Struthio camelus: one gene and its partner. Each later gene encodes a partner of the first gene's protein in a complex. Links are inferred from orthologs where the notes say so. Each region holds a gene or a part of one and is shown in the gene's direction. Other genes may lie near its edges. The genes, in order: KCNQ1 and KCNE3.

Region 1 (7,265 bases):
ATATAAGGTGCTTGACCAGAAATGCCTGTCATCAGGGAAAATCTTGCTGCATGTATACATAAGAAGCATGAACGTATTCAAGAGCCTGTAACAAAGATTTTGCTTACATTTAAAAATTGTTGTGAAGCCAGTATAAAAGCATACCAGTCGGATATTAACAGATCATGATCAATTTAAAAGAAAGGTAAATAAGATTACTAAGGTATCCAATGAAAAATCCATATAGGTACTCAGGTAACTGTTCTTAGTTACAACTTGATGAATGAATCAAAACTTTTCTATAATATTTCTCTCCCATCTCCCTATTGAAAAGGCTAAGCCATAGTCTTCCCAGGATTTCAGAAATGAAGTAAACACTTCTCTCCCTTTCCTGTCTCCTTACCTCTGCTCTGATTCATAAGACTGAGGTTTATTTGTTCAAGTTGTTATTGTCATGTTTTCAAGCTTTTCTCTGTGTCTGAGACTTAGATACTTACTTGTTTTGCAGTTGTCAATAGGAATTTTTAAAGTAATGACATGACTCTGTGAGCAGAACTTCTTCATTAAAATAGAGAATATTTCAAAAGTTATTATACCATAACTGCCATATGAAAGTATTTAAACAATCTAGGACTTAATTCTCGGTTCAGTATTGAGTCACTTTATCTACACCATTGGCTGAGTTTTTAAAATGATCTGTTAACTGGTTAAACTGTGGACTCTTCAGGAAATGGAATTCAACAAAATATTTGCTCTAATTCAAGCAAAATGATCTGAAAATTAAAAAACAAAAAGAACTTCTGCCTCTCCTTGAAAAATGTTCTTTACCTCTATCATCACCCATTCTCTAGCTAGGCAGAAACAGGAAGTAGTATAAAAAAACAAACCACCCCCCCCAAAGTAATCTTACAGCAAGCAATAGACAAAACACATGATTTCCATATCAGCCAAGAATTCAGTGCAACCAATAATTGCAACATAAGTGTTAATGGCTTTTAGCATATATAGATAATGCTCAGATTCTTTCAGTTTAAGTCTTTGATTCCATAGGGAAGTAATAACATAAAAGATCAAAGTGTCTCTTTATAACTTGCTGCACCACTTACAAACATTCAGCAGTGATAAAAGTTATGACTTTGCCATTTTATCTTACACAGTACTTATAAAAATGACTGAACAAAACAAAAAGACAACATATAATGAACATATGTAACAAAGCATAGATAATAAAGGACATAACTGGAGATGGGATAAAGAAATACAGACCTGAGGTGGAACAAACACTTCGGATCTACTCTAGCCCAATGGTGGGATTCTCAGAAATGCTTTACTAGTCCTATCCCATGTAATGACTGCTGTTGGGAGCGTTACCATCAGCTTCACGGGTAGCACCATCAGACTTCAGTGGCTGACTACACACCAGGTCTCATTTCTAGAAGCAGCAGCATCGTAAAAATGTAAAAATTAAACACCGTACTTGCAAAGAATGAAGTAATAAATATCACACCATTATTCCTCTTGCTACAGTTTCTTAAACACTTACAATAGACTAAATCATGATTTTTTTCTAAGAAACAACTCAGTGTATAGTTCCACCTTAATATTTAATACCCTGTATCCTCCTTATTAATCCTCCTGTATTTGCCTAGTCTCTTCACTATCAAAGCACTGATATCTGGCTCAGTAAACATTTTTTTAATGCTCATCCACCTCCTCTTTCCATTCTTAACTCTTCTATGTATACACCATACTCATTGGATTTTTTTCTCTTCTTCCATTTAAATAATTACTGTTTTGTAAAATGTATATATTTTAATATCAAGATGTGGGTTAATATCAAGACTGTTCTTAATGGGAAAAACAGGAATTAACATTAGCATGTTAAAGAATTAATCTTGAAAATGCTGCAAGTTATCATATAGTTTTGGTATTTAATATATAATGAAGACAAATATTCTTGTATTCTCAGCACTAATTCTTCATCCCTTTGATGTTTTTATTTAAGTATGCAATTGGCTTTTACCTATGCCAGATAGGCATGTTATTATTCACTGACATGAACTAGTTGGGAATGTTCAGAAAAAAATGATTCTTACCAAATAAAATCAACTTCACTATCCATCAGTAATATATTAAAAAATAGTGGATTTTGATGAAATCCTTGATTCTAGTGAAAAGAGGTGTAGATACTGCCTGAATGCTCATTTTAAATATTTTCAAACTGAAAATTCATTTATTTGTTATGATTCTTTGAAAAATGTAATTAAAATTAGAAGTCCAACTCAAAACATTATAAAAGTTTTTCTGATATGAAAACAATTCAAAATATTGGGCCATGGAAAATATTTTAGACTTTTCTTGTTTTGCAGTAAGAAAATTATTGAAACAAACTTGGGTTATTTGGAACAGTTTCTCATTGACCACTGAGGACCAAATGCAGCGCTTAACAATTTACTTTCCTGCTTAGCTATTTAAGTACACAGTACTTACTCTAACTTTTCTTATGGAAGTAAATTGTATACGTCATGCAAAAATTCCATTTTTTTCATTTCAGGTGTTTTGGGATTTCTATTCTCTGTTTTGTTAAGCAAAGTATAAAAAAACCCGTAATGCCACAATTTTTATAAAAAATTTTGAAAACATTTTTGAGGAACACCACAATCTACTTAAACATAGCCTCTTATTATTTTGCTAAACTCTTTTAAGTTTTGCACCTGGCTCCAGGATAAGTTCTGTACAGACAAGAGGTGAGTCTTTAAAATAAAACACTTACATAAGGAAACACATTTGTTAACTTTGATATCGAGACTTAATCAGGCTAGTCCTCAAATGACAAGCCTTCAAGGCTAGCAAAGGCTTTCTTCCTTTGGTCATTTTTCTTGCAGGTTTATTGCCAGAAGGAGTCATTAGTTTGTGGCTCTCCTCTATTCAAGCGGCTAGCCACCCCACTCAAAGATTCACGGCGATGCCCCTTTTGGTTGCCAAACAGATTGTAATCTGAGGTGAGCGGAGTCACTGCGACTACTGCAGGAGGTAGGTTTCCTCTGCAGATAGGATAGGCAGCGTGTCTTTACCAAGAGGGAGAAGCTGTTTCTGAACCACTAACAAGGTCTTTTGACTGGTGGTCCTTGAGTGAAAGCCTAAACGCTCTCTTCTCTGAGACTGGAGGCCCGACGCTAAAAACCAACTAAAACGCAGACAAGAAACCGAAGGGTTCTGGCTCAGGGGCAAGCGCTGGGCTACGCTCGCTGCAGCTCCCAGCATCCCACGGCCAGGAGTCAAGCTCCCTCCTGAAGGTGGAGGTTTATCTCTTGCTGAGGTGTTCCCAGAGTCTCCACCAGGCTGTTTCATTAAGCTAGCTCCTCCATCTTGCTCTGATGGGGTGGGTGGGGGGGTTAAATCCTTATGACTTAAAAACAAGTGTTGCGAATTCTCTTTTTACCCCTTTTGCTTTCCCAACAAGTGGCCACCTTCTTCACAGGTGTGAATCAACCCTGTGTCGGAGCCGACAGCCCCGCTCGGGCTCAGGCCCGCTAGCGCAGGGGCCTGTGCGGCGCCCGGGGCCTCCCTCACAGCCTAGCCTCTGCCTGCAGCTGCAGCGGGCAGCCTTGCTTGGGTTCAGCTTTATTTAGCACCTTATCTTCCCGCAGCATTCTTGCACCCCTGAACAACTCCACCTCGCTCCTAAGAGTCCTGTTCTATTTTGGGCTAGAAGAGAGAGGCGTGTGGGGGGGGGGGGGGGATAAATAAATGAAAAAAAAAGCTCTCCACATCAAAGGCGACCCCTTCCCTTAAGCTCTGGGAAGAGAAACTTGTTAACTAACTGTTGCAGCAAAGGTTCTTACTACCGTGACAAACTGATTCACGCCACAGCTACCTGAGCCCTAACTTAAAAAAACAGGACGTTGGCCCGAGCCCTCCAAACGGCCTGAGGAGGCGGCGAGCGGCCGGCCGAGCGCACGCCCCCTTCCACCTGGCCTTGTGTCAGACCCAACCTCTGCAGCAGCGAGGAAGAACTATATATATATTTATATAACGTATGTATAATTGTTTTACAGCTCACCGAGTCACTCGGCGACCTGCGCCCGCCCAAGGGCAGCGGCTCCCTCACAGCCGGGGCCGCCCCGCGCCGCTGCCCCTCACCTTTCCCGGCCGGGAGCCGCCCCGCAGGGGGCCGGGCCAGCGGCGGCGGGAGGGCGCTGGGTGCCGGTCCGCCGCTCGGCAGGGCAGCGAGGCGAGCCGAGCCGAGCCGGTACCGGTAGTGCCGCTGCCATGTCGTCCAGCTCCCCGCCGGCCGAGCAGAAGGCGCGCAGCCTGGGCCGGCTGTCGCTGCCCAGGAAGGGCAGCATGACGCTCGGCAAGAAGCCCTCGGGGCTGGAGCTGGCTGAGAGCGTCCCTCACGCCCGCTATGCCCCCATCCAGGGCGGGCAGCAGCAGCAGCAGCCGCCGGGCTGCAGCGCCGAGCCCCAGCGGGAGCGGCCGCGGCGCCTGAGGAGCGAGGCGGCGGCGGCGGCGGTGAACGCCGACGGCCCGCGGCCGCCCGTCAGCCTCGACCCGCGCGTCTCCATCTACAGCCTCCGCAAGCCCCTGCTGAGCCGCAGCAACATCCAGGGCCGCGTCTACAACTTCTTGGAGCGCCCCACGGGCTGGAAGTGCTTCGTCTACCACTTCACCGTGTGAGTACCGCGGCCGCCGCGCGCCCGGGCGGCCGCTAACGGCCGTTAACGGCCGCTCGCCCTGTCAGCGCGGCGGCGGCCGGCGTGAGGGGGCAGCCGGGTTTCCCGCCTTTCCCCTGGTCGCCGTTTCCCGAGCTAACGCCGAGCTCTGCTGGGCGGGCTGCGCCCTGCAGGTGTTTCGCCCGGGGCGGGGGGAACCCTTCGCGGTCAGCGGGCGAGCGGACCCGAGAAAAGCCCCTTTTGCTTGAGACGGGGAGGCTGTGTTCCGGGGGCGCAGCGTGGCGGGTTGGGCGTACAAGAGAAGAGCCCAGGCTGGCTGAAATCGCTTGTCCTAGAAGATCGTCCTCGGAGCTGGCCGAAGTTGGTCCGTTGCAGGTGCGCAGTCGAAGCAGGTAGTCGCTTGGCGGCTTGTCCTCCGGTAAATGCAGTGCACCGGTTCCCGGCTTTTCGGCGCGTTGCGTCGCTCCCCTGCTCCGCGGGGCAGGTGTGTCGTTAGCGTGTCAGCCCTCTCGGAGGGAGGCAAGAGGTAGGTGTAGCGTTGTGGCACTCCGCGCTTTTTTTTTTCCTTGCCTTTTTTGATGCTCCTTGTTCGACTTTCCTACGGGGAAGGAAGGCCATCGCTGTTATTTTTGCCCCCCCCCCCCCCAAAAAAAAAAAAAAAAGCGGGGGGGGTGACGTTTGGAGGATGTTACGCGATATTCAGTATGGAGCACTGTGTCCGTCCTGAACCAACACAGGGTACGTCTGTTCTGCTCTTCCGGAGGATCTTAAAGAGTGCGTCCGTGAAGAATTAATGCGTCTTAATCTAGATGTTGTGGAAGATTTGCGGGACCCTTGAGCACTTTGTAAGTACTAAGCGTAGAGAATAAGATGAGGAAGTGCAGTACCTGCATAAATCTATTTATTGTATGCATATGCACACACACAGGCATACATATACACACACATACGTGTATATTTAATACAGCAGCTGGAGGCTAAGGTGTTTTATGGGCCAAGACCTACGACAAAAGACTTGGTTAAAATTCGATTCTAATGCTCTAGTCATTGTGTTCCGATTTTAATTCTAAGTAATTAGTATGTTAAGTAGATTGAGGGTTGTGGGCCTATTTTCCACGTGTGAGGATCCTGGAGCCTTTAGGTAGACAGGTAAGTGGTACCAAATTTGTTTTAGTCAGGGAAAAACAGCTATCATCAGAATGTGTTTAAGTGTGGAGCTGCTAAGATAATTGTGGGTTCCACTGTATTTAACATTATGACAATGCCATTAGATGACAAAACAGCTAATGGCCGTAATTTTAAAAAGTGTATAATAGTTGTGGGTGAATAATATAAAACACTCTTAGGAATTGGAGTTCTTTATTTTCTAAAAAGGAGGGAAAAAAAAAAAACTTTGAGGCAGCTATCCTGCATGATATCTGACCTCTTTCAGGTGCCTCAAGTTTTTTGTAGAAGGGACAGTAAATAGTCTTGCATATCTTAGCTAATTTTCTCTAAATCTTAACAGTGGGCGTAGGAAAAAGTACTGACAGCAGAAACTGTGGCGAGGTGTGTCTTGGGGTAAGAGCTTTCATTGACATCGCCCAGTTGGATCCATCTATCTAACAGAATCTGACCTGAATTTTGACTTAAAATCTTTTTTTTTTTTTTTTCCAGGTAGTTAACAGTGAGAATTAAGATTCGGTAATTCTGCTCTAGGAAAGAGATTGTAACATGTACAAGCAGTTACTGCCTCTTTTCCCCCAATGCACGCTTATCTGAGGTGAAGCATTAGCCCCAGTGCTTGCCAGCTTTCCAGAGCAGCTCTTTTGATGCAGTGGTGAATGACAGAGGTACTGAATGTTCTCAAGGCTGTTATTATGCATTGTGCAAATTCCTTGTCAGAGGACAGAAGGAGGTACTACCACCCCTATACATTTCTTACAGGGCAATCGGTAAGTGCCATCTGTATTTTTAGGCAGCCCCGTTCTGATTTCTGCCAGCAGAGGGAGTTGAGTTTGTAACTTCCACAGCCATCCTAACCTCTCCCTGTTTCTGTGGTAGACGGGCTCCCACTTTGTGCCCTTGCTGGTAATCTTTTTGGTTATTGATCTTTGGTATATACCCCTCCAACTCTTTCTTGCTTTCTGAGCTCCCACAGCAAGCTCCTGGGATGCTTGTTTTCCACTTGACCAGGAGATCCTCTCTTTGACTACTGCCTCTGCCAGTCACATGTTGAGCGTTGGTAGCCTAATGTTTGCTACTAAGATGGAGGAAAAAAGTGAAGCTATTCCTTCAAAACCCAGAAGTTCAGCAAGAAAAGTAATGGAAAAGACAGACAGTTGTTCTGATCCAGAGAAGCTGCTGTTTTATTTCAGCCTGTACTTTGGAGGAGGCATGAGACCTGATTTTTTGCATGCGGTTTTCTGGCTTTTTGCAAGCATTTGGTTACTAATGGTGAGCTGAAGAGCTAAAAAGAAGTCAGTTACCTGTGTTGGGTACTGTCTAATTTTCTTTTTATAAGTCCTCCGCCATCATGTTTGCGCTTTTCTCCCCCTAGAAGAAGTAACTTGACTGCTTTGTTTTTAGCATACAAACCAGCGTTCATGGAGAGCTAAGCTAGGTTTTGCC
Region 2 (7,584 bases), on another chromosome or scaffold:
GGACCCGGGTTCGAGCCCCGGCCCCGGCGCCCGCCTTCCCCCGCCCCGTCCCCCGCTCCCGGCGCTGCCCCGGCCCGGAGGACCCGGGTTCGAGCCCCGGCCCCGGCGCCCGCCTTTCCCCCCCCCCCCCCGCCCCGTGCCCCGCTCCCGGCGCTGCCGGCAGCAGCAGCAGCAGCATGTCGCCGTGGGCCGTGCGGGTGCTGCGCCTGGGCCGGCGACCTTACGGCGAGGCGCTGCGGGCGCAGGAGCGGTGCGTGGCGGCGGCGCGGGCGGCGGCCGGCGAGGGGCTGGTGCTGAGCGAGCCGGCGGCGCCCGTGTACGCGTGGGGGCTGCGCGGGGCGCCGGCGGCGGCCGAGGCGGCGCGGCTGCGGGCGCGGGGCGCGGAGCTGGCGGCGGCGCGGCGCGGCGGGCTCCTCACCTTCCACGGGCCCGGCCAGCTGCTCGCTTTCCCCGTGCTCGACCTGCGCCGCCGCCGCCTGCCGCTGCGGGGCTACGTGGCGGCGCTGGAGGCGGCGGCGCTGGCGCTCTGCCGCCGCCTCGGCCTGCCGGCCGCCCGCGCCCTCCCGCCGCCCTGCACCGGCGTCTGGCTCGGCGACAGCAAGCTCTGCGCCATCGGTGAGCGCCGGCGGCGGGGGGGGGGAGCGTGCACGGGGGGGTTGCAGCGGGGGGGGAGCGTGCACGGGGACGGGGACGGGGGGTTGCAGCAGGGGGGGAGTGTGTATGGGGGGGGTTGCAGCGGGGGGGAGCGTGCACGGGGGGGTTGCAGCAGGGGGGGCAGCGTGCACGGGGACGGGGGGGTTGCAGCGGGGGGGGAGCGTGCATGGGAACGGGGGGTTGCAGCGGGGGGGGAGCGTGCACGGGGAGGGGGGGTTGCAGTGGGGGGGCAGCGTGCACGGGGAGGGGGGTTGCAGTGGGGGGGCAGCGTGCATGGGAACGGGGGGTTGCAGCAGGGGGGGAGCGTGCACGGGGAGGGGGGGTTGCAGCAGGGGGGGAGCGTGTATGGGGGGGTTGCAGCGGGGGGGGAGCGTGCACGGGGACGGGGAGTTGCAGCAGGGGGGGAGCGTGCACGGGGGGGTTGCAGCGGGGGGGGAGCGTGCACGGGGACGGGGGGTTGCAGCGGGGGGGGAGCGTGCACGGGGGGGTTGCAGCGGGGGGGGAGCGTGCATGGGAACGGGGGGTTGCAGCAGGGGGGGAGTGTGTATGGGGGGGGTTGCAGCGGGGGGGAGCGTGCACGGGGGGGTTGCAGCAGGGGGGGAGTGTGTATGGGGGGGGTTGCAGCGGGGGGGAGCGTGCACGGGGGGGTTGCAGCAGGGGGGGCAGCGTTCACGGGGACGGGGGGTGGCAGCGGGGGGGAAGCGTGCATGGGAACGGGGGGTTGCAGCAGGGGGGGAGCGTGCACGGGGAGGGGGGGTTGCAGCGGGGGGGCAGCGTGCACGGGGAGGGGGGTTGCAGCGGGGGGGAAGCGTGTATGGGGGGGTTGCAGTGCGGGGCAGCGTGCGCGGGGAGGGGGGGGTTGCAGCGGGGGGGAAGCGTGTATGGGGGGGTTGCAGTGCGGGGCAGCGTGCGCGGGGAGGGGGGGGTTGCAGCGGTGGGGGAGCGTGTATGGGGGGGTTGCAGCAGCAGGGGCGGGGGGAGCGTGCACGGGGGGGTTGCAGCACGGGGGGGGTTGCAGCGGGGGGAGCGTGCACGGGGGGGGTTGCAGCGGGGGGGCAGCGTGCACGGGGACGGGGGATTACAGCGGGGAGGGGGGTTGCAGCAGGTGCGGGGGGCAGGGGAAGGGGGGGTTGCAGCGGGGGGGGAGCGTGTACAGGGAGGGGGGTTGCAGCGGGGAGGGGGGGGTTGCACCGGGGGGCAGCGTGCAGGGGGAGGGGGGATTGCAGTGGGGAGGGGGGGTTGCAGCAGGGGTGGGGGGCAGCGTGCACGGGGGGGGTTGCAGCGGCGGGGGGAGTGTGCATGGGGGCGTGGGAATTGCACCGGGTCAGGGGAGCATTCTCAGGGAGGGCATGCATGGGGGGGGTTGCATCCTGCACCCCGGGACCCCCTGCACCCTCGGCCCCCGACCCTGCACCCCGGGACCCCCTTTGCACCCTCGGCCCCCGACCCTGCACCCCAGGCTGTCCTTGCACTCTCGGCCCCAGGCCCTGCACCCCGGGGCCCCCTTGCACCCTCGGCCCAGGGCCCCCTTGCACCCGGGGCCCCCTTGCACCCTTGGCCCCAGGCCCTGCACCCCGGGGCCCCTTTGCACCCGGGCCCCCCTGCACCCTTGGCCCCCGACCCTGCACCCCAGTGCCCCCTTGCACCCGGGGCCCCCTTGCACCCTCGGCCCCCGACCCTGCACCCCAGGGCCCCCTTGCACCCTCGGCCCCTGACCCTGCACCCCAGGGCCCCCTTGCACCCTCGGCCCCTGCCTCTGCCCCCTGGGGCCCCCTTTGCACCCTCGGCCCCTGACCCTGCACCCCAGGGCCCCCTTGCACCCTCGGCCCCCGACCCTGCACCCCAGGGCCCCCTTGCACCCGGGGCCCCCCTGCACCCCAGGGCCCCCTTGCACCCGGGGCCCCCTTGCACCCTTGGCCCCAGGCCCTGCACCCCGGGGCCCCTTTGCACCCGGGGCCCCCTTGCACCCTCGGCCCCCGACCCTGCACCCCGGGCCCCCCTGCACGCTCGGCCCCCGACCCTGCACCCCAGTGCCCCCTTGCACCCGGGGCCCCCTTGCACCCTCGGCCCCCGACCCTGCACCCCGGGGCCCCATTGCACCCTCGGCCCCAGGCCCTGCACCCTTAGCATGAGTCCTGCACCCTGGGGTCCCCTGGGTGCTGCCCCCACCCTGGCGGCTCCTCTTGGCCCGACGCCGGGCTGACGGGCGGGCGCTGTCGGCCGCCGCGCAGGCGTCCACTGCGGCAACTACATCACGTCGCACGGGCTGGCGCTCAACTGCTGCACGGACCTGACGTGGTTCGAGCACATCGTGCCCTGCGGCCTGGAGGGCAAGGGCGTCACGTCGCTGAGCCGCGAGCTGGGCCGGCCCGTGGCCGTCGCCGACGTCCTCGAGCCCTTCCTCGACGCCTTCCAGGAGGTTTTCGACTGCACCTTGGTCTTCGCGGAGGAGGCGGCGTGCTAGCGGCGGGCCGGCACGCGGCGGAGACTTGGTGCCCGCCGGAGACGTTCGTTAAATATTTACGTGACATCCGCTGGCCCGTGGTCTGGTTTTGTTAACGGCGCCGGTGCGCGGCCGCGCGATTCCCTGCTCTGTCCGGCCGGCGAGGGAGCCGGTAGCCGCGGCGGCGCTTTGGGACGTCGGGCGTCTCGGTCGCGTCGGCTGCCGAAACGCTCCGACGAGCCCTCGCGCGCTTCTTGCGCGCCCCTGCCCGGCGCGGCAGCGGAGACGTGCCGGAGGGGCGCCGCTTTCCGCCCCGTCCCTCTTCGTTCGGCGTCCTTCGCCGCCCGCCTCAGCGGGTTTTAGAGCCGGAGAGGCGCCGGGCGCCGCTCGCTGCCGTGTTGGCTCGCGCCCTCCAAGGCGCGCCGGGAGGCGGCCGGGACGGCGGCTCCCCAAAGCCCCCTTTGCCTCGAGCGGCGGCCGCCGGGGACCCTGTGGGGAGGCAGTGGGACCCCCGGGGTGGGAGCCGGACGGTGCAGGGAGGCAGCGGGATCACCAGGGTGGGAGTGGGACCCACCTGGGTGGGATCCCCGGGGTGGGGGCAGGACCCCCCGGAGCAGCAGCAGGACCCCCGGGGTGGCAGCTGGACCCCCCCGGGGGTGGGTGGACCCCCTGGGGGGGGCAGCAGGACCCCTGGGGCAGCAGTGGGACCCCCGGGTTGGTGCCAGACCCCCGAGGCAGGAACAGGATCCCCGAGGTGGGTGCAGGACCCCCCAGGACAGCAGCAGGACCCCCGGGGCAGCAGCAGGACCCCCGGGGCGGGTACAGGACCCCCAAGGGGGCAGCAGGACCCCCGGGGTGGGTGCAGGACCCCCGGGATGGGTGCAGGAGCCCCCGAGGCAGCAGCAGGACCCCTGGGACGGCAGCAGGACCCCCGAGGTGGGTGCAGGACCCCTGGGACGGCAGCAGGACCCCCGAGGTGGGTGCAGGATCCCCCGGGACGGCAGCAGGACCCCCGGGGCAGCAGCAGGGCCCCCGAGGTGGGTGCAGGACCCCCGGGGCAGCAGCAGGACCCCCCGGGGCGGCAGCAGGACCCCCGGGGCAGCAGCAGGACCCCCGGGATGGCAGCAGGACCCCCGAGGTGGGTGCAGGATCCCCCGGGGCAGCAGCAGGACCCCCGGAGCGGGTGCAGGACCCCCGGGACGGCAGCAGGACCCCCGAGGTGGGTGCAGGACCCCCGGGACGGCAGCAGGACCCCCGGGACGGCAGCAGGACCCCCGAGGTGGGTGCAGGATCCCCCGGGACGGCAGCAGGACCCCCGGGGCAGCAGCAGGACCCCCGGGACGGCAGCAGGACCCTCGAGGTGGGTGCAGGACCCCCGGGACGGCAGCAGGACCCCCGGGGCAGCAGCAGGACCCCCAGGACGGCAGCAGGACCCCCGAGGTGGGTGCAGGATCCCCCGGGACGGCAGCAGGATCCCCCGGGGCAGCAGCAGGACCCCCGGAGCGGGTGCAGGACCCCCGGGACGGCAGCAGGACCCTCGAGGTGGGTGCAGGACCCCCGGGACGGCAGCAGGACCCCCGGGGCAGCAGCAGGACCCCCGAGGTGGGTGCAGGATCCCCCGGGACGGCAGCAGGACCCTCGAGGTGGGTGCAGGACCCCCGGGGCAGCAGCAGGACCCCCCCCCCCGGGGGGCTGGGATTGGGAGGGGGCGGGCGCCGGGAAGGGGAGGAGGCAGCGGCGGCCCTGCCCCGCCGGGGGCCGGTCGGCGGCGGCAGCCGCGGGCGCCCGGGCGCGATGCTGCAGTGGCGGCTCGGCCCGGCCGCAGCGAGCAGGGCAGGGCAGGGCGGCGGGTGAGTGACCCCCCCCCCCGGGGCCCCGCCGACCCCCCCCTCCCTCCTCCCCAAAATCCACTCTGCAGGGCCCAAGGCGGCGGAGGAAGCAGCCGGGGTGCACCATCCTCTTCCTCGCCGAGGTCTGGTGTCCCCCCCCCCCCCGGCTTTCGAGGGGCGCGCCAGGCGGGAGCGGGGGGCGATGGGCCGGCGCGGGGAGCGAGGCGGCCCCCTCCCCGCTGCGCGTCCCCGGCGGGCGGGCGAGCACGAGGCGACGCGGGTGACAGCAGCGAGACCCGGCGGGGTGCCCCGGGGGGCTTGGCGGGGTGCGGGACCCCGCGAGGGTTTGCGCCCGGGGAAAACAAAAAACCTCCGCGAGCGATGCTTATTGCTAGCCGGCGGCGCTTGAAGCCGGTTCAGCTCGGTTCGGGCCGGGAAACGAAGGGCGCGACATCCAACTCAGGCCGCTCAGCACCGTGCCGCGGGGGTACCGCGGCCGGCTGACGCCGCTTCGCCTTCCCCGCAGGCTCGGCCGGGACATGGAGGAAGGCAACGGGACGGCCGCGTGGCACCAGAGCCTGCACGCCGTGCTCAGGACCCTGAACCGGACGCTGCACGGAGCGGCGCGTTGCGGACCGGACCGGCCGGCGGCGCTCAACGCCAGCGGCCGCCCCGGCCAGGCCGGCCGCAACGACAACGCTTACATGTACATCCTCTTCGTCATGACGCTCTTCGCCGCCACGGTGGGGAGCCTCATCCTAGGCTACACCAGGTCGCGCAAGGTGGACAAGCGGAGCGATCCCTACCACGTCTACATCAAGAACCGGGTGTCCATGATCTGAGTCCGGGCTGCGCGCCCCCGGCGAGGGGCTCCGCAGGGTTTCGGGCCGGCGCTGAGCCCGGGCGGACGGCTCCACGCTCGCTTTCCCGCGCGCCGCCGTCGAGCTCGGCCCCCCCCCCCGCCGAAAGCGGCGTGGGAAAGCGGCCAGGGTCACCGTCCGCGCGGCGATGATCCTGGCCGGGGGCTTTAAAACAGGAAAAAGCATCGTTGCTGCGCTCAGTGGGACGGCGCGGGCCGCCGGGAGCTCAGCGCCGACGGCCGTGGTTGTAGAGCCGGGCTGGACCCCGCTTTTCCCGCTGGGTATTAAAGGAGGTGGCGGTATCCGGAGCGGGTCGGCTCTGCTTCTTCCCCGAGCGAGGCGCGGGGTCGGCGGCGCTGGGCGTTTGGGGACGGGACGGGGCCGACGACGTTGGGCCGGGGAGCCCGGGAACGCCTTTCGGAGCGGGACGTCCCCAACGCCGGGCGCGGGAACCGGCTCCCGCCCCGAGCATCGCCCAAGCCTGGCCGGAGGCGTCCTGCTCCGCGTCCCCCCCCTCACCCAGGCCTGGCGGGCTCGGGACAGCGATGTTGGAGTCTTTCCTGCTTCCTTCCTGCGCTGCCGGCTGTAGCTTTGCCCTTTTGTACCGCGGGTCTCCGAGGTGGGTTTTTTTTTTTTTTCTTTCTCGCGGCCGCGAGCGCGGCCACCGGGAAGGGGACGTTCTCGGGCTCTGCCGGCCTCCTCGGCTTCGTCTCCGCTATTAAACTGGACGCGTTTGGCCGAGCGGCCGGGACCGTCAAACGGGGCGGCGGGAAAGGCCGGGGGCTGCCCGCGGCCCGGCCGAGGTGCCGCCGTCGCCGAGCCCGGCCGGCGGGGTTTCTCGGCGCTCCGCCACCTCGCTCCTGACCCGGCATTCGAGAGGCTTCGCCCTGTTTGCCTTGCGGTTGGGAAAAGCAAACAAACCCCTCCGGCAGCTTTAGTGGCAAATAAAGCGGAGGAGGTTGGGTGCCCGTCGCCTCCTCGGAGAGGTTTCGCGCTCCCTCGGCTCGGGGTCGGGGGGGGGGTTCATCCCCCAGGCGTCCGTCTCCTCCAGCCGGACGAGCCGTGGCGTCGGCGCGGGGGTCCCCAGGGCCGGGAGCTGGGGGATCCCCCCCCGACATCGGGGGGTCGCGGTGCTGTTGGAGCGGAGCACGCCTTAAAACAAAAAAAAATGGCCAAACCCGCTGTTTTTCCCCAAACGGGCCGGGCCCGGGGGGGTGACGAGGTGCCAGTGTCCCCCGGCGGCAGCTGCCGGGGCTCCCGGCGCCTGCGGCGAAACCCCCCGCTCGGCTCCAGCGCGGCTGCGAACTGGGGGGCGTGGGGGAGCGGGGGGAGTGGGAATGGGGGGGGGACGGGGGGAACGGGGGTGTGGGGACGGGGGGGTTGGAAGGGGGATGTGGGAACGGGGGGGAACGGGAATGGGGATGCGGGAATGGGGTGGAAACGGGGGGAATGGGGGTGTGGGAACACGGGTGCGGGAACAGGGGGGAACGGGGGTGCGGGAATGGGGGGGTGGGAATGGGGGTGCAGGAACGGGGGGAATCGAGGTGCAGGAAGGGGGATGGGGGCACTGGAGTGGGAACGGGGGTGCAGGAACGGGGGGGTGCGGAAACAGGGATGCGGGAACAGGGAAGCAGGAATGGGGGTGCGGGAGGGGGGGTGCAGGAATGGGGGGGTGGGAACGGGGGGGAACAGGGGAATGGGGGTGCGGGAGCAGGGGGTGGGAACGGGGGGGTGTGGGAACGGGGATGCAGGAACAGGAGTGTGGGAACGGGGGTGTGGGAATGGGAACAGGGGAACA

What was found.
Region 2: the proteins of KCNQ1 (region 1) and KCNE3 are in contact, whole or in part, in a cryo-EM structure (PDB 6V01), measured with the Homo sapiens proteins. The link is inferred for Struthio camelus from reciprocal best matches to the Homo sapiens genes KCNQ1 and KCNE3. Residues at the interface, in NP_000209.2 of Homo sapiens: Arg116, Pro117, Thr118, Gly119, Trp120, Cys122, Phe123, His126, Phe127, Phe130, Leu134, Leu137, Ile138, Val141, Leu142, Ile145, Gln147, Tyr148, Arg181, Met238, Val241, Asp242, Gln244, Thr247, Lys362, Asn365, Ile368; in NP_005463.1 of Homo sapiens: Asp54, Asp55, Asn56, Ser57, Tyr58, Ile61, Met65, Phe68, Ala69, Val72, Gly73, Leu75, Ile76, Leu77, Tyr79, Thr80, Arg81, Ser82, Arg83, Val85, Lys87, Asp90.

Annotation. Positions count from the first base shown.
Region 1 is NC_090946.1:18,681,208-18,688,472, forward strand, and holds the start of KCNQ1 (potassium voltage-gated channel subfamily KQT member 1), read left to right. Parts: upstream 1-4,194; 5' UTR 4,195-4,251; coding exon 4,252-4,655; intron 4,656-7,265. UniProt on the Homo sapiens protein: Pore-forming subunit of the voltage-gated potassium (Kv) channel involved in the regulation of cardiomyocyte excitability and important in normal development and functions of myocardium, inner ear, stomach and colon.
Region 2 is NC_090942.1:223,401,105-223,408,688, forward strand, and holds KCNE3 (potassium voltage-gated channel subfamily E member 3), read left to right. Parts: upstream 1-4,856; 5' UTR 4,857-4,891; coding exon 4,892-4,947; exon of another isoform or gene 4,948-5,069; intron 5,070-5,452; coding exon 5,453-5,768; 3' UTR 5,769-7,068; downstream 7,069-7,584. Other genes in the region: LIPT2 (octanoyl-[acyl-carrier-protein]:protein N-octanoyltransferase LIPT2, mitochondrial), read left to right, coding at 177-615, 2,886-3,118. UniProt on the Homo sapiens protein: Ancillary protein that functions as a regulatory subunit of the voltage-gated potassium (Kv) channel complex composed of pore-forming and potassium-conducting alpha subunits and of regulatory beta subunits.